Linked DNA regions of Arabidopsis thaliana. The protein of the gene in region 3 purifies or fractionates together with the protein of the main gene of each other region. This does not show direct contact. Each region holds a gene or a part of one and is shown on either strand. Other genes may lie near its edges.

Evidence for each region.
Region 1: the proteins of UAP56a (region 3) and LOS1 fractionate together in Arabidopsis thaliana (co-fractionation; one large-scale study listed by BioGRID). This does not show direct contact.
Region 2: the proteins of UAP56a (region 3) and AT3G12915 fractionate together in Arabidopsis thaliana (co-fractionation; one large-scale study listed by BioGRID). This does not show direct contact.

What each region holds. Positions count from the first base shown.
Region 1 is NC_003070.9:20,967,053-20,973,690, reverse strand, and holds LOS1 (Ribosomal protein S5/Elongation factor G/III/V family protein), read left to right. Parts: upstream 1-1,948; 5' UTR 1,949-2,025; exon of another isoform or gene 2,026-2,579; 5' UTR 2,580-2,613; coding exon 2,614-2,616; intron 2,617-2,696; coding exon 2,697-2,784; intron 2,785-3,005; coding exon 3,006-5,446; 3' UTR 5,447-6,039; downstream 6,040-6,638. Other genes in the region: AT1G56060 (cysteine-rich/transmembrane domain protein B), read left to right, coding at 6,558-6,582. UniProt on the Arabidopsis thaliana protein: Catalyzes the GTP-dependent ribosomal translocation step during translation elongation.
Region 2 is NC_003074.8:4,110,915-4,116,456, reverse strand, and holds AT3G12915 (Ribosomal protein S5/Elongation factor G/III/V family protein), read right to left. Parts: upstream 3,624-5,542; coding exon 3,621-3,623; exon of another isoform or gene 3,519-3,620; coding exon 3,431-3,518; intron 3,301-3,430; exon of another isoform or gene 3,185-3,300; coding exon 2,469-3,184; coding exon of another isoform or gene 2,408-2,468; coding exon 1,885-2,407; coding exon of another isoform or gene 1,786-1,884; coding exon 749-1,785; 3' UTR 506-748; downstream 1-505.
Region 3 is NC_003076.8:3,551,267-3,557,640, reverse strand, and holds UAP56a (DEAD/DEAH box RNA helicase family protein), read right to left. Parts: upstream 4,546-6,374; 5' UTR 4,444-4,545; intron 4,327-4,443; 5' UTR 4,308-4,326; coding exon 4,195-4,307; intron 3,963-4,194; coding exon 3,862-3,962; intron 3,541-3,861; exon of another isoform or gene 3,405-3,540; coding exon 3,232-3,404; intron 3,133-3,231; coding exon 2,901-3,132; intron 2,821-2,900; coding exon 2,702-2,820; intron 2,018-2,701; coding exon 1,961-2,017; intron 1,869-1,960; coding exon 1,684-1,868; intron 1,576-1,683; coding exon 1,431-1,575; intron 1,341-1,430; coding exon 1,257-1,340; intron 1,163-1,256; coding exon 1,099-1,162; intron 1,006-1,098; coding exon 995-1,005; 3' UTR 623-994; downstream 1-622. Other genes in the region: GLR2.6 (glutamate receptor 2.6), read left to right, coding at 1-380; APT5 (adenine phosphoribosyltransferase 5), read right to left, coding at 5,655-5,726, 5,880-5,938, 6,030-6,179, 6,265-6,357. UniProt on the Arabidopsis thaliana protein: ATP-dependent RNA helicase involved in pre-mRNA splicing. Required for the export of mRNA out of the nucleus. In addition to ssRNA and dsRNA, binds dsDNA, but not ssDNA.

The DNA.
Region 1 (6,638 bases), on a different chromosome or scaffold from region 3:
TAATGTTTAAATTTCTTATAAAAGAATCAAAATGTGTTTTAAAAAAATTAAAGTTTTAAGTTTTTTTTTTTAATATTGTTAATTTTGTTTAGTGTTTAAGATTATATAATTATATTATGATTGTTATTATATGTTTTTTTCCATAGCATACTATCCCATGTTATTATCCACTCAAACCCGTCACACCATATAACCCCGTCCCGTGAAATTAAACACAAATTTGTCATTTTATTATAAATTTCAAATATTTATAAAATTAGAAACTTCAAAAAAGATTAATATTGACCCAAACTTCATCATTGAATTTTGAGTGTTATATCTAAGATTTCTCTCGCAGTATATCGTCCCGTATTAATATCTTTTATATTGTTTAAATTTCTTGTAAAATTTAATTTATAATTTTTTAAACTTTTTAAAGTTTCAATTTTTTAAAATAAATAACCCTAGTAAACAAACCATTTTAATTTTGGACACCTCATAAATCAAGTTTCATGCTCATTCGTAATCGAAATCATTTTGGTCCTTTTTATAGTATGGCTCTTGACCATTGTCCAATTTTTTTAAGCGATGTGGGACATTCTAAAATCGTAATTATTATCCACCCAAACCCGTCCTACCATATAACCCAGTCACGTGAAATTAAACATAATTTTGTCATTTTCTTATAAATTTCAATATTATAAAATTTGGAACTTAAAAAAATACAATATCGACCCAAAATTCATCATTGAATTTTGATTGTTATATTTAAGATTTTTTCTGTAATATATCGTCTCGTATTAATAAATTTTTTATATATTTATAATGTTAAATTTCTTGTAAAATTCAATTTATAATTCTTAAAACTTTATAAGTTTTAAAATTATAAATATTTAAAGCATTTTTTAAAGATAAACTTTATAAAAAAATTTAAAATTATAATATTTAACTTTTGATAAAGTTATAATATTTATAATTTTTTGAGACATTTTAAAGTTTCAATTCTTTAAAATAAAAAATCCCAGTAAAATCGGATAACTATTTTAATTTTGGACGCCTGATAAATCAAGCTTCCTGCTCATTCGTAATCAGAATCATTTTGGTCCTTTTATAATATGGGTCTGAACCATTGTCCAATTTTTCTAAGCGATGTGGGACATTGTACACATATTATTTCTTCATAGGTTGAATAATATATGTCCATTTAAAAAAATTAGAATTACATCATATTCAGAAAAAAATATAATATTTTATTAATTATATATATTTTATATAAATTCAAAATAAATAAAGTATAAGATCAAATAAAATTGAAAGAAGAATTATATATTTATGTTTAAATTAGGTAGAAATATTTTAGGAAATTAGTTAAGGTAAATAAGAAATATGGTTAGTTTAGAGATATTGTTTATATTAAATTTGGTAATTAAATCATTAATTTTCGTTTTTAATTATTAGTTTTTAGGTAACTTTTCCAAAAATTAATGTTATCTAAGATCAGAACAGAATTAAACATGTTATCCAGAATCCGAACAGAGTTAAACCGGGTAAAACCCACCCATTTGAATTAATTGTTGAATTATGGCTCAAATCTTCAACATTATCTTCAAAAATCCCCTCCAAAAATGTATATATAGATAACGGAAACAAGATTAATGTATCATCATTCATTCCTTGTTGATTTAATTAAACAGATGAACAAATGATATGTAATAATAAGGTCTCGGTTTACAGTGAAAGTGATTTAATTTAGTATCTTTGTTACTTCGATTATTGAATTGAGCGTGTGTACTTATGAAGATTAAATCGATGATGCATGGGCTCATGAAGATTAAAAAACTCAATAGACACTTAACCAGAATTAATGATATTGGCCCGATGAGTATTGGCCCATTAAGGCCCATTAAGAGAGCGAAAACCCTAAACGAGAAACAAGGGATATACTCAGAGCATCTTCCTTGGTTACTATATAATAAGCTTTAGGCTGCTAGACGCCTGCCTCCTTGCACCTCTTTTCTTTCTCTCGTTCTCATCTTTCTCTCTAAGGTTAGTCCCTTGTGTAGATCCTCTCTTCATCGATTCAATTTCATCTTCCTTGGTTTGATTTAGGAATTTTGTCACGATTTGGTGTTTAGATGATGGAGTCTTGCTGTTGATCTATGTTTATAGCACTTTGTTTCCATGGTTCTGTTGTTTCTTACCGTTTGTTGTGCATCGATCTGGTTTTGGTAGATCCCTCGTAGATAATAATCTGAATATGTCAAAGTTTTCTTACAAGTCTGTTGTGTTTTCAGTTTTGATTGATATTGTTATCCATGTAGTAGTCGATCATCCAAAAACTGGTTCAGTGTGATTCTCCGATCATCGCCGCTGATTTTATATTTATCATCATGTATAGATTTGCAGGTTTTATTTTGTTCGTTGTGTGTTTTTGTTCTTTGTTAAATTTAACCTCTATGCATTTGATGTACATGTTTTTGTGTTGGTCTCAGTTTCTCTTATTCTGTATAAGCTAAGCTAAAGTCTCCATGGTTAGTGTCTGTTTAGTATTAAAATATTTCAATTTGCTAATTCTTTATGTTTTTGTGATGATATTGCAGAGATTTTGTAGGTGACAATCAAAAGTTTGACAAAATGGTAAGACTTTTGTTTTTCTTACATTTATTTACATTATTACTATGTGGATACAAGCATATAACGATTTTATGAACTTGCAGGTGAAGTTTACAGCTGATGAGCTTCGAAGGATTATGGACTACAAACACAACATCCGTAATATGTCTGTTATTGCTCATGTCGACCACGGTATAATCTTCATCACTTTTTTTGTACTATTCTTGTCAGTTTTGATCTCTTGTTTGTTTACTGAATTTGCTGGTCGAATTGTAATCTGAATCTAATGCATCTCTTTATATACTAATGTTTATAGTCTGTTTTGAAATTAATAGCGTCTCTTATCTGTTTTCTGAGTTTGCTGAACGTTTAAAAAAGTTTAAACTAATGCATCTTTATTTCATGATCAACAGGGAAATCCACTCTTACTGATTCTTTGGTTGCTGCTGCTGGTATCATTGCCCAAGAGGTTGCTGGTGATGTTCGTATGACTGATACCAGAGCTGATGAGGCTGAACGTGGTATCACTATCAAGTCCACTGGTATTTCTCTCTACTACGAGATGACTGATGAATCCTTGAAGAGTTTCACTGGAGCCAGAGACGGAAACGAGTACCTCATCAATCTTATTGATTCACCTGGGCACGTTGACTTTTCTTCTGAGGTTACTGCTGCTCTCCGTATTACTGATGGTGCTCTTGTGGTGGTCGACTGCATTGAGGGTGTGTGTGTTCAGACTGAGACTGTTCTACGTCAGGCTCTTGGTGAGAGGATTCGACCTGTCTTGACTGTCAACAAGATGGACAGGTGTTTCCTTGAGCTTCAGGTTGATGGTGAGGAGGCTTACCAGACTTTCTCGAGGGTTATTGAGAACGCTAATGTCATCATGGCTACATACGAGGATCCTCTCCTTGGTGATGTTCAGGTTTACCCAGAGAAGGGAACTGTGGCGTTTTCTGCTGGTCTCCATGGATGGGCGTTTACACTGACCAACTTCGCCAAGATGTATGCTTCCAAGTTCGGTGTTGTTGAATCTAAGATGATGGAGAGGCTCTGGGGTGAGAATTTCTTTGACCCTGCCACCAGGAAGTGGAGTGGCAAAAACACTGGTTCCCCGACCTGCAAGCGTGGGTTTGTTCAGTTCTGCTATGAACCCATCAAGCAAATTATTGCTACTTGCATGAATGACCAGAAGGATAAGTTGTGGCCTATGTTGGCGAAGCTTGGTGTCTCAATGAAGAATGATGAGAAGGAGCTTATGGGTAAACCTCTAATGAAGCGTGTTATGCAGACTTGGCTCCCTGCAAGTACTGCACTACTTGAGATGATGATCTTTCATTTGCCATCTCCCCACACTGCCCAGAGGTACCGTGTTGAGAATCTGTATGAAGGTCCTCTTGATGATCAGTATGCAAATGCCATCAGGAACTGTGACCCCAATGGACCTCTCATGCTCTACGTATCCAAGATGATTCCAGCCTCTGACAAGGGTAGATTCTTTGCCTTCGGTCGTGTCTTTGCTGGTAAGGTTTCTACTGGTATGAAGGTCAGAATCATGGGTCCCAACTATATCCCTGGTGAGAAGAAGGATCTGTACACTAAGAGTGTTCAGAGGACTGTCATTTGGATGGGTAAGAGGCAAGAGACAGTGGAGGATGTCCCTTGTGGTAACACTGTTGCTATGGTTGGGCTGGATCAGTTCATCACCAAGAATGCTACATTGACTAATGAGAAGGAAGTTGATGCTCACCCCATTCGTGCTATGAAGTTTTCTGTGTCTCCTGTTGTTCGTGTTGCTGTTCAGTGTAAGGTTGCGTCTGACCTTCCCAAGTTGGTTGAGGGTCTCAAGAGGTTGGCCAAGTCTGATCCTATGGTTGTGTGTACAATGGAGGAATCAGGTGAGCACATTGTTGCTGGTGCAGGAGAACTCCATCTTGAGATTTGTCTTAAGGATCTTCAGGATGATTTCATGGGTGGTGCTGAAATTATCAAGTCAGACCCTGTGGTCTCCTTCCGTGAGACAGTTTGTGATAGATCTACTCGCACAGTTATGAGTAAGTCTCCTAACAAGCATAACCGTCTGTACATGGAAGCAAGACCCATGGAGGAAGGTCTAGCTGAGGCTATTGATGATGGACGTATTGGCCCAAGGGATGACCCTAAGATCAGATCCAAGATCTTGGCTGAGGAGTTTGGATGGGACAAGGATCTTGCAAAGAAGATCTGGGCTTTTGGACCTGAAACCACAGGGCCTAACATGGTTGTCGATATGTGTAAGGGAGTTCAGTACCTTAACGAAATCAAGGATTCAGTTGTTGCTGGTTTCCAGTGGGCGTCCAAGGAAGGTCCTCTTGCTGAAGAGAACATGAGAGGTATCTGTTTTGAGGTATGTGATGTGGTGCTTCACTCTGATGCCATCCACAGAGGAGGTGGTCAGGTTATCCCCACAGCCAGAAGGGTCATATACGCTTCCCAGATCACAGCTAAGCCCAGACTTTTGGAGCCGGTTTACATGGTTGAGATCCAGGCACCAGAGGGAGCTCTTGGAGGAATCTACAGTGTGCTGAATCAGAAGCGTGGACACGTGTTCGAGGAGATGCAGAGGCCAGGAACTCCCTTGTACAACATCAAGGCATACCTGCCTGTTGTGGAGTCTTTCGGATTCTCAAGTCAGCTTAGGGCAGCAACCTCAGGACAGGCATTCCCACAGTGTGTGTTTGATCATTGGGAAATGATGTCTTCTGACCCTCTTGAGCCAGGTACTCAGGCTTCAGTTTTGGTGGCTGATATCAGGAAGAGGAAGGGATTGAAGGAAGCGATGACTCCACTATCTGAGTTCGAAGACAAGCTTTAAGCTTCACCAAGACTCGTACTAGCCTTTTTCCCAATGGTTGCTACTCTCTCTATCTTAATTTTGTCTTGTTTTATTAATACTCTTATGGTATGACGGATTGTGAAGACTTTTCTCTCGCCATCCCCTGAATGTTTTTTACTTTTTTCCTAGTTGAGAACTTTGTTATTGTGTTCGCAAATATCTTGGTTTTGATTCTGTCTTGCTCTTTTTTTTTATATTCTTTTCTCTTCCGATCATTCATATATTCATGCATATTATTTAGGTTACTTACCGGAACACAGGATGTAATTGTGTTAAGTCTCAGACTGTTTTATCATTGAATGTTGGAAGAGGACATGTTTTTTAGGTAGGATGAGATTTTCTTTCAGAGATGTTGATAAACAGTGTCAGAGTATGATTTTGTTCTATTAGAGATTGTAATTGTCAGTCATGCATTAGGTTCACTTACATGGTAACGGATTATTTGTGGTGTTGTTGATTTAGTAAATTGGAATGTTGAAGAATGCAGCCAGGTCCCTTGAATAGTGGGAGCTCCTTAAAAAATATTCCAAGTCGATAGTGTTTAGAAGATGCGTTCGGTGGCTATTTCCTAAGGAAACCCACATTGCTCATTTATCACTTAGTTTAATTATCTCATCTATAAATAAAACGTCCAGTTTGGACACCAAATCACGAATCACTTATTAATCTTTGGTGATCTTGTGTATTAGTTTTAAGAGGATGTCATTTAGAGAGTTAATAAGCTGATTCGTGATTTAACACCATTGGCCCAAATACATGATTGATTATGGGTCGTACAAGGCAACAATAAGGTTGGTTACTTATCAAAACACCGGTGAGAACACGTCCATTGACTCGTTATGAAGTGTTTTGACCTGGAACCTTCAGAGACGACCAGAATCAAGGACGCCTCCTACTTTTATTTGAAACGCGTTGTGTCGTGTTCGGTCTGGCTAGAAACCGGAAGTTTCTACGAACACACCTCCTAACAAATTCAATATCTTAAACCGGAAGATAACGTCAGAAAATGTATAAATATACACTTTGAATTGAAGCAATTCACAAAAATCATTCATCATCTCTCTTAACTCATCATTACACAGACATAGCAATGGCTCAGTATCATCAACAGCATGGTGAGTCATTCTTGTACATTACACAATTGCTGATATATATGTTTTAAGTTCAGTTT
Region 2 (5,542 bases), on a different chromosome or scaffold from region 3:
TATTTCTTAAAACTCAAACAGTCACATGCCACTTTTCTTGATCTCCACTATGTTGAGGCGATGACATGTTCTAGTTGAGCTGAAAAGTTTGGTTTAAAGATACATATCTAAGACATGAATGAGCACATCTTGAAATCAAAGAAAATAAAAAGACAACATTGTAAATGTGCCAATAAAGAAGGAAGAGAAAATGAGTTGCGGAACACAATACTAGTAACTAAGCCCAATTTATGGTTCGCTAACATGGAAAGAGAGTTCTGAAAAACAAGCTCAGGACTACCTAGAAGGCTGAATCTATGGCTAATACAAGATGGGAAAGCCGAAACAAGCTCAGGACTACCTAGAAATGCTTCTTGAACCCGGTTGGTTTAACTAAATTCACTGGCTGAAAAATGCTGCTATTATAAGAACCCAACTGTGAGAGTCATAACAAGAGAAACAACTCAACAAGAGCAAAAATGTGACCTGATATTTTGTTCTCACTCTATATTAAAACAATACAGCTTCAGACTTGAGAGGTTTATTATCGACGCTTAGGACGTTCGTCATCGAAGAGAACAAAAAAAACAAGTTATGAAACAGAAAATAACTCAACTAGTATAAACAATACTACTGAATTGATAGGTCTATGAAGTAAAAAGAGTGAACAAAAAACAGGGTGTAAGTCTGAATCAAAAATGTGAACAATAAACAAGCCTAAGAGGGAGATAAGAGTCTTTGAGAAAGAGTTAGAGGAGCTATGTTCCGCTTACAATTTGTCTTCATAATCAGAGAGTGGAGTCATTTGTAGCTTCAAACCTTTTCTCTTCCTGATATCAGCTACCAATGTCGCAGCCTGTGAGCCAGTCTCAAGCGGATCAGAAGACATCATGTCCCAATGGTCAAACACACACTGAGGAAAGGCTTGTCCTGAGGTTGCAGCCCTTAGCTGACCTGAGAAACCAAATGACTCGACCACAGGAAGGTAGGCTTTGATGTTGTAGAGAGGCGTTCCTGGCCTTTGCATTTCTTCAAACACATGTCCACGCTTCTGATTCAACACACTGTAGATTCCTCCTAAAGCTCCCTCAGGTGCTTGTATCTCGACCATGTAAACCGGCTCAAGAAGTCTAGGCTTGGCCGTGAGTTGTGATGCATAGATGGCTCTTCTTGCTGTTGAGATCATCTGACCACATCCTCTGTGGATTGCATCAGCATGGAGCACAACATCACACACCTCATAACAGACCCCTCTCATGTTTTCCTCTGCTAAAGGACCTTCCTTTGAAGCCCATTGGAACCCAGCAACCACTGAGTCCTTGATTTCATTCAAGTACTGCACTCCCTTACACATGTCAACCACCATGTTGGGCCCTGTGGTGTCAGGTCCAAACGCCCAGATTTTCTTGGCAAGATCCTTGTCCCACCCAAACTCTTCTGCAAGAATCTTGGATCGGATCTTGGGGTCATCAGATGGACCGATGCGGCCTTCATCAATGGCCTCTGCTAGACCATCCTCCATTGGTCTGGCTTCCATGTAAAGACGGTTGTGTTTGTTTGGGGACTTACTCATCACAGTCCGGCAAGACCTCTCAAAGACTGTCTCTCGTAACGAAACAACAGGATCTGACACTATGATATCCGCACCACCCATAAAATCTTGAAGATCCTTGACACAAATTTCAATGTGGAGTTCTCCAGCACCTGCAACAATGTGCTCACCAGACTCTTCCATTGTGCATAGAACCATAGGGTCAGACTTGGCCAGCCTCTTAAGACCTTCTACAAGCTTGGGAAGGTCAGACGCTAGCTTGCATTTCACAGCAACACGAACAACGGGAGAGACAGAAAACTTCATGGCACGAAGCGGGTGTGCGTCCACTTCCTTCTAATTCGTCAAGGTACCATTCTTGGTGATGAACTGATCCAGCCCAACCATAGCAACAGTATTACCACAAGGAACATCCTCCACTGTCTCTTGTTTCTTACCCATCCAAATGACAGTCCTCTGCACACTTTTGACATACAGATCTTTCTTTTCACCAGGGACATAGTTAGGACCCATGATCCTGACTTTCATACCAGTAGAAACCGTACCAGAAAAGACACGACCGAAGGCAAAGAACCTGCCCTTGTCAGATGCGGGAATCATCTTAGAGACGTAGAGCATCAAAGGACCGTCTGGATCACAGTTTCTGATAGCTGCAGCATACTTATCATCAAGGGGACCTTCATACAAGTTCTCAACACGGTACCTCTGCGCAGTGTAGGGTGATGGTAAGTGAAAGATCATCATTTCAAGAAGAGCGGTACTCGCAGGAAGCCATGCCTGCATGACACGCTTCATCAAAGGTTTACCCATCAACTCTTTCTCATCGGGCTTCATCTGAATACCAAGCTTCTCTAACATCGGCCACAGCTTATCCTTCTGATCATTCATACAAGTGTTGATCATTATCTTAATGGGTTCATAACAGAACTGAACAAACCCACGCTTGCAGGTCGGGGAGCCAGTTTTTGGTCGTCCATTTTCTGGTTGCAGAATCAAAGAAGTTCTCACCCCACAGCCTCTCCATCATTTTAGATTCAGAGACACCAAACTTGGAAGCATACATCTTAGCAAAATTGGTGAGAGTGAAAGCCCATCCGTGGAGACCAGCAGAGAAAGCTACTGTCCCCTTTTCAGGGTAAACCTGAACATCACCGAGGAGAGGATCCTCATGCGTGGCCATGATGACATTAGCATTCTCAATGACCCTCTGGAAATTCTGATACGCCTCCTCACCATCAACCTTAAGCTCAAGGAAACACCTGTCCATCTTGTTGACAGTCAAAACAGGCCTAATCCTTTCACCAAGAGATTGCCTGAGCACAGTCTCAGTCTGCACACAAACACCTTCAATGCAGTCAACAACCACAAGAGCACCATCAGTGATACGGAGAGCAGCTGTGACCTCTGAAGAAAAGTCAACGTGTCCAGGAGAGTCAATGAGGTTGATCAGGTACTCATTGCCATCTCTAGCTCCGGTGAAACTCTTCAGAGACGCATCAGTCATCTCATAGTAGAGAGAGATACCAGTGGACTTGATGGTGATACCACGTTCTGCCTCATCAGCACGAGTATCAGTCATACGCACATCACCCGCAGTTTCTTGAGCAATGATACCAGCAGCAGCAACAAGTGAATCCGTAAGTGTAGATTTCCCTATCATTAAAAGATCACAAAACTTTTATTTAGTATCAAGTTTGATAGAAAAAACACATGCTTAGCAAACATATGTATAAAAGAGCAAATATTTCATCAACAAAAAAGAAACAGAACTATATAAATAAAAGATATATAAAATAAAATCGTTTTTTTATGTTATGTTATACTTTAACATCAATAAGCCATAAAAACAGAGTGATATGAGATTCATATACAACGAACAATTTTTAAAGAGATAAATACCATGATCGACATGGGCGATGACAGACATGTTACGGATGTTGTGTTTACGATCCGTAATTTTCCGTTGCTCTTCAACTGTAAACTTCACCTGCAAGATTTTTTAACAAAAACGTGTTAAACAAAACACAAGGCAGATCACTACACAAAAAATAAATGAATAGTACTCTGAAAGAAAAGAAAAAAAGCTTACCATCTTGACTTGCTTTTTTCCTCACGCCTACAAAATTCTCTGCAGAGAAAGAAGAGACAGTAAGAAAATTATCGGAAAATAATACTAGAATTCATAGATCAGCAGTAGAGAGAAGAAGAGAGAATCAACAATCTGTAAAAAATTAATAAATGGGAAAAGAAGAAGAAGAAGAGGGAGCGAAGGTAAACTAAAATCTTAACCAACCTGGAGCGAGTACGGGTGCAGCCTTGGACGTGAAAAGATGAGCAGAAGCGTTACTCTCTGTATATTATAAGAAAGTGCCTTTGCCTTCTGATTTTAATATTTAGGGTTTCACACAGAGAATCTCTGTCGGGTTTTATTTTGTCTTAAGGGCCTAAATGGGCTCACTTATTTTAAATTACTCATTAATCTGAAATCCTATTTTTTTTAAAAAAATTAGGGGGTATTATTGGTTTACGATTTATATAAATTTTTAGCGATTTAATGTTATAAAAAATCTTGTGTAATTAAATTAAGATTTTATAAGATTCTGTTAACAGTTAGTGTTATTAGATTTTGATTTATACAAAATAATCTAAAGTCTTCATAAATTTTGAGTTATTAGATTCATAATTTAATAAAGTCATTAAAAATTGATGTTATTAAACTAAAACAAATGAATCTATGATTCTTAATGATTTTAATTATGGTGTTATTGGTTTATGATTTTATACATTTTTTTTTACAAACTAAAATCATGAAAAGTATCAAGAAAAAATAAAGATTGTAAATCATGACCCTGATATTTTAGTTTAATAAAAAAAGACAAAAAGTTAGGATTTTTTTTGTCTTTAGGGCCTAAATAGGCTCACTTATTTTAAATTACTCATTAATCTCAAATCCTATTAAAACAAAAAAATGGAACTTTCACATAAAGATTTCACTTTTCAAAACCAAAACCATAAAAGGAAGTGGAGAAACAGAAACCCTGTTTACTTTACTTGTTGTCAAGAAGAGAAAGCATACCTCTGATCGAATTGGGTTCTCTCATTGACACTAGTTTGTAATTGCGACTGTAATATGAAGGGTGGAATCGAAGCCTGAAACAGATGAGAGAAGAGGCAGGAGGTTTATACCAGTACACAAAAGGGCGTCAAAGGTTTAAGTAAACAAACTGTTCTAAAAGGAACTGCTCATGTGCCGAACTTCCAGGTTTTAGAAAGTAAACTTGAAACAGATGCCAGGAAATTCATACCATAAAGAGTCTTCGTTTGTTCAATAAACCGTTTCCGCTGCAATAAAACCAGAAGAAGCATTGTGACCAATTAAAGCAAAGAGACATGGATCTAAATGAGACTCTAACAAAGCTGCAAAAGGAAAAAACAAAGGTCATCAGACACGGAATAGCCAAATGCAGCAGAATAAGAACCCAACTTACAAAGTACAAGACGGAAATTACTACACAATCAATCACACGTACATAGTTGGCTACTGGATAACCAGTGGAATCAGTCAGTAAAATGATATCAGACTACTCGATTGCATGATTTGAAGTATAAAGCTTAACCTATCTACAATTTTCACGCCAATTCCAACTGTTTATTGAACCATATCCTAGTCATGTCTCGGGAACACCCAAAACCTCTGCAGTTTAATTCGATATATACTGACTCGATTGTAAACTGAGCTAATCGTCTCTTAAATTGACGAATTTACGAAATCTGGAGATAAAAGGAACATGAACAATCGTATTCATCATCCAAACTACAAACAGAATCTCGGCTCTTCGCTCTCAGAATTCGAAATTGGCAAGTAACTCTGCTTTCTCTCCAATGGTTCTCTCCAATATTTCTCTCATCCGTGACAAGACAAGAAGTTCCATCGTTTCATCTCCTCCACCTAATGGGCTTTGTTTCCTTTGTGGGCTTCTTAATGTTTTTTTAAACGCTTTTGTTACTTTA
Region 3 (6,374 bases):
TTGTTTCTATGCTTCTACTCTTAGCCATGTTGGTTTGTAGAAGATACCGCCAAGAAAGCAAAAGCGGCGAGATCAATGCTAATAATTCGCCAACAGATGGTAACATGAGAGCTCCACCTAATCAGCCAACAGATGATAACATGAGAGCTCCGACTAGTCCGCCAATTGATGATCAAGTCCTTGAGCCACCTGGTCCAGCATTAAATGAAGCCGATGATCAAGATCAGCTTCTGAATGATGAAGTTAATGTTGGAGATCGAAATGAAGTAGATATTATTGTGGAAGTCGACCCAACTTTGGTTCACCGTAGAAATCTGATCACCTCAAAAACAATACCCACCCGAAGAGCTGCACTATTCTCGAGGATTAAGTCTGCATAGGCTCTGATCGTAGTCTTTCTGAATGAACCTAATTATTATGTTCTTTTGCGTGTTGTTTTTTGAGTTTTTTCTCATGCAAAGGCAACAGACTTGCCTCTTAAAAAGTCAAAAGACAAATAGGCAAGGACACATTGACTCCTTCAAGTTGCCTTTTTCCCCTAACCATTGTTCCTTGGATATAAACTTTTCAATATATAAAGTAACCATATATACGTGTTGTATCTCTTCCACACTAAATGAAATGTGTTATAAAAAAAAAGCATCACATGAAGGAAGTAACGCTGATGAATGACGATTCTTAGCAACACCATGATAAATTGATAATAGATCGATTCCTAAGGAACACAGTAATCAGGTCGAGACTAAATCCTGATATTTCAAACATAATAATCTCTTGTACAAAAAACTGGACAGCTTTTAACTGTGCGATTTGGAGAGTGACTCGAATCTCCTTTAAAGAGTACAACAGACGTTCTAAACATATGGAAAAAAATGTCGTCATAGAAAACACTAAAACAAACGGAGCGAGAGATAGTTGTGAACCCCCATCACCCTTCGAACACCTACAAGGTTGAAATCTGAAGAGCTTCTTTCCTGAGGGACGTGCTACTTGTTTAAGAAGGCACTGAACAAAGAAAGAAGAAGAAACAACATTAATATCACAACCAGACAAAACCAAGCTTTTAAACAAACAATTGGTAAGGGATTTCACACTTACTGTAGGTTGAAGTATCAATCTGCTCCGGAAGTTCCTTTATATCAACCTCAAACCTCTCTTGTACCTGTCCAAGATTTATAATTGCCACTTTACTAAATATCCAACTCAATTTCAAGAGGAGTTTTCCGTGGACTTATTACAAAGATTGAACACCATACCTGGTTAAGAACCTCTGAATCTGAAGCAGATGCAACAAATGTGATTGCAAGACCCTTGGTTCCAAATCTACCAGCTCTGCCAACCTATACCATACACAGCAAAACGGTAAAGTTACAAGAGCCCTTTCAGTGAGATCAACAATCAAATAATAAATTTCAGTATTATATACTTACCCTGTGAAGATAGGTATCAGCAGAATCTGGCATGTCATAGTTGATGACAATGTTGACACGCTCAATGTCAATCCCTCTTCCTACCAAGTCAGTCGCCACAAGGATCCTTTTGTGCCCTTCCTTGAAACTTTTGTATCGAGTCAACCTACATAACATATCGTATTAGCCTTAAGAATTGGACTCCTCTCCATGAGGGCTTTAAGAGCAGGTAGGGTCCTTCAAAAACATTGAATTTTGAAGAGAATGTACAGACCTCTCTTCTTGAGACATTCCAGAGTGGATGCATATTGAGGGGAAATTGCATTCCACCAGTAACTTGTTCAGCTCAGCAGCCCTGCTCACGCTCTTCACAAAAATGACAACTTGATTGAAGTCCAACGCATCAAGAAGGTCATTCAACTTCCGGTTTTTCTCCATCTCGCTCAGTTTGATATAGTGCTGTTACAGTATGACAGTAAAAGGTCTTTTAAGTATCAAACAACAAACTATATTTCCATTGAATAAGAAGACCTAACACCAGATAAGAGTACCTGGACAAGCCCATGAAGAGTCAACTTGGCTTCATCATCGACATATATTTCCATTGGCTGAAAGGAATAGATATCAGGTAATAATTAGCAAGCTTTTCTCAGGAAATGATTTACACTACAAAAGTGAAGATGGATGTAAAACCCCTGATCTGAGATCCTCGTCCACCAGGTTCTCTTCATAGATGTGAGTTTTGCTATGATACAGCGATATTGCTCGGAACATTAAGGCCCATACAATCACAATGAAACCTTGGGACAACACAGTACCCCACCCAAAACCCACCCAGCACTGCTAGAATTGCAAAGAAATTGAAACTGAATAAAAGGTAATGACGAAAGAAGATCCTGTTGTGCAATGGTCACTCATTCATACCAATGCTACAGAGGCTCACACTCACAGTTCTCGATCCCTACAAACTACCCAAAGCATTAGTGGATTGAGACCCATCGAGAGATCAGTTGCAGCTTTTCCAGGGCAGAACCGCAGAAGATGCCCAAATAATGCTATAATCACCCATAGAAACCATACCAAAGCTACAGAGTCTCACACTCACAGTTCTCGTTCCCTACAAACTACCCAACCATTATTGGATTGAGACCCATTGAGAGATCAGTTGCCGCTTTTCCAGGGCAGAACCGCAGAAGACGCTCAACTAATGCTATGATCACTCATAGAAGGCTAAAAATAGTTGAAAACTAGAAGACTTGCAAAGGGAGAGAGAATTGGCCATGGAACATTACATCTTGCATAAATTTTTTGCAGACTGGGCGTATCTCTTTGCTGAGCGTTGCTGAGAACATCATTACTTGTTTGTCATGAGGAGTCATCTTGAAAATCTCCTGCACATCCCTTCGCATGTCTGGTAAAAAAAAAGTTAAAGTGTTAAAACATAAAATTATTCAGGGATCGATGTAATAATGATGTCAGAAATCAGCATACCAAGTGACTCGAGCATTTTATCACATTCATCAAGAATAAAATGCCTCACATTCTTCAAAGAGAGATCTTTCTCCCTGGCAAGTGCAAGCACCCGACCAGGGGTACCAACAACAATGTGAGGACATTCATTCTTCAGCAAGTCTTTGTGAATTTTAATGTTGACTCCACCATAGAACACCGAAACCTTTGTATCAGGCAGATAGGTACTGAATCGCACAAACTCATTGCAGATCTGCAAGTAATTGTCAGCATCAAGGCAAAAAGCATTAGAGGAAGAAGACGTACAACAAAACTATAAGCCAAGAACCTGAGTGAAACAAGAAGGTCATACCTGGTAAGCTAGCTCTCTTGTATGGCACAAGACAAGTGCAGAAACCTGGCCAGGAGATGGTTCAATCTGTTGTAGAGTAGACAGGACAAACACAGCAGTCTTCCCCATACCAGACTTTGCTTGGCAGATGACATCCATGCCCAAGATAGCTTGAGGGATACATTCATGTTGCACTGGTGGAGAACCAAAGAAAATTGTACCGAAGAAAGCCTTTATAAGTAGATGATAACCTCCATATCTTTTAAATTGGTGGCTTTAGCACATGTTTAAGCTCACTCCAAACCAATAGATTGAAATATCGTTTATTACCTGGAAAAAGTAATCAGTGAAACGTTAATAAACAAAGAAAACAAAAACCATTATAACAGGAAATAAAAAAGAATTTGACCTCAACACAAACTTTTTTTAATTTAGTTAGATGATAAGCAAAGGACCAAGATAAAGTATAAAATATCTTTAACCAACATATCTTCTCAAAACTAGACGAAGTACATATAATTAAAAGTTTCCGGACAACTAAAACATCTTATGGAGAAGTCACTTCTGTAAATTATACAATATCATTCGGTAATAGAATGGTGAAAGGCAAGGCAGAAAAGTCAAAGGTAGGGTGTATTTCATTGTAATAACCTTCAGATGGATGTTCAAATCCAGAGTCAACAATAGCTCTGAGAAGCTCCGGTTTTAAAAGGAAGTCTCTGAATCCAGAACTGTGTATTCCCACGTACCCTCTGTCACAAAGAGAAAATACAAGATGATAAACACATGACCGTCTAATATTGGGTAGGTTCCAGGAATTTTAGCATTGAAGAACTTAGTCAATTGTCATAAAGTTAAGCAACTAACCAAACACATAGATAATTGAAGAACTTAGTCGGTTGTTATCAAGCAGTAATCTAAGAAAACCCTAAATTTAAACATCCACTATCTCATGAAACAGATCGAGGAAATCATAAAACTCACTTTTTCACGGCTTCACCGTTAACTTTGTTTCCAGAATCTGGGACCTTCTCGTCTTCTTCTTCATAGTCCAAGAGCTCCTCCTCGTAGGCTTCGTTGTCTCTAGCGTCTCCCATACTTCGCAAATTCAACAAGCTGCAGAGAAATTTCGGGTAAGATTCCAAATCCAAAACATTAACCTAAGATTCAGTAGGAAAGCATCTTCCATTGGAACTTTGGATAAGCAATTGAGTTCTCGAGCGAGAATTTTACCTGAGATAAGGAGCAGAGTTGGTTGGATCTCGAAATCGACTAGGGTTTCGAAATCTCTGACTGAAGAGAATGAATCACCAACGCCGCGTTGGTGTCGTAAATAAATATATACAAGGAGACTGGATAGGGTTGACAATAAGCTTTACTTTAATGGGCCTAAAGTTTTTATTAATCGGCCCTTCTGCGCCAATTATTATCTAAGTTTTTTTTTCTTTTTTTCTTTAGTGGGTTCGAGTCAATTTAGACAATGACGGTCAGGGCTCGTCTTGGTTTAGTGGGTTCGAGTCAATACGAACAGAACAGTAGAGCACAATAGATAACAAATTGGTTTAGTTAAGATATTTCATTTCCCTTAATAACAATGTTTTTGTTTCAAGGACCCAACAAAATTGTAGGCCCATTAATTAAAACAAAACCCAATTTAGACTGAGTTCAACCATATCTTTCACTCTCTTTGGAATCGTTTGGACGAAGCTCAGATATTTTTACTCTTGCAATTCAGAGATTTCGAAACCCTAATCCGATTTCGCGATCTAACCAGCTCTGCTGAGTTCTCAAGTTATCCATCAGACTCTTCTGTTTATTAGCAAATAAAGCTTTGTAAGGAAAGCCATTGTGTACTTTCACTTTTATTGTTTTATAGTCTTCAATAAATAACACATACAGTAGTTTGCTTATGTAATAATTTGTATCATGAAAACTTTATTAACGATTTTCAATTTATAATTTGAAATCAGTGAAGTAAGTTGTTAAGTTTAGGGAGAAACAAAGAAAAACTTGCAGCAGTGCTGAAGCAAAAATATGGACCAATATTGCAGTAATGAATAGTTTTGTCGTAGAATACAACCAACTTTATCAGTGCTCAGTAATATCAGCATTAAATTTAGTAAACCTACTAGTTGTACTTTTTAGATTTCCCGCATAAATTACGAACGTATCTTTACCCTTTTAATGATTACAGTTATTATAAACTGATTAACATGAGTTAGTGATCCATCAGAAATTCCACCAAACCGGGAAATGTAAAGACTCTTTTCAGTATCTCGGTTTTTTACCAACCACTGCCGTGGAAAGTACACATCAAAATTCAAAATCTACAGAGATCAATAAACGAGAACGAATACAAGAAGTTGGAACCCTAGAAATTTTGAAAAAAAGAACATGAACTCTGCAGGGAAAGAAAACTGAACCGGAAGTAACCGGTATGTATCCTAACAGAACTCATCTAATCCACTAGGCTCCACCAACACATAAAGCGGCTTCCCTTTGAGCTTGTGTTGCCCCTAAAAACAATTCAAAATTTTCACAAACTCAATGAGCAAATTTGAGTTGAGATTATAACAAAAAAACTAACTCTATCACTACATTTTAGAAATCATTTCAAAAGAACAAAACCAGAGATAACTTCTTAGACAAGTAAGATAAATGTGACTCACCTTGACTTCAGGCAAGCCAATAACACAAGCACACTCAACAACTTCAGCTCCTTGGCTCTCTGTAAAACGTCAAACTGTATCACATTACAATTCAAGACCAAAAAATTCTCTTTAAAAACTGAAAAAGAAAACAAGAAGAAAGAAAGAAACCCAATAGGCTCATTGCGGCAGAAAGAGTGCCGCCAGTAGCAACAAGATCATCAATGATAATGACGCGTTCGCGTGGCTCAACAGCGCCAACATGCATCTCTAAACGGTCATGCCCATACTCGAGCTCATAAGACTCCGATATCACTTTCCCTATATTTTATAGTTTCGCCAATTTTTCAGAATCTCAAGAGCTTCTCTATCACAATAACCAAAACAGATAATGCAGTAAAAAAACCTGGTAATTTTCCTGGTTTACGCAAAGGGATAAACTTTGCGCCGATGGCTAATGCAATGGAAGGACCAAACAAGAAACCTCTTGCTTCAACTCCTATATAATACATTTGG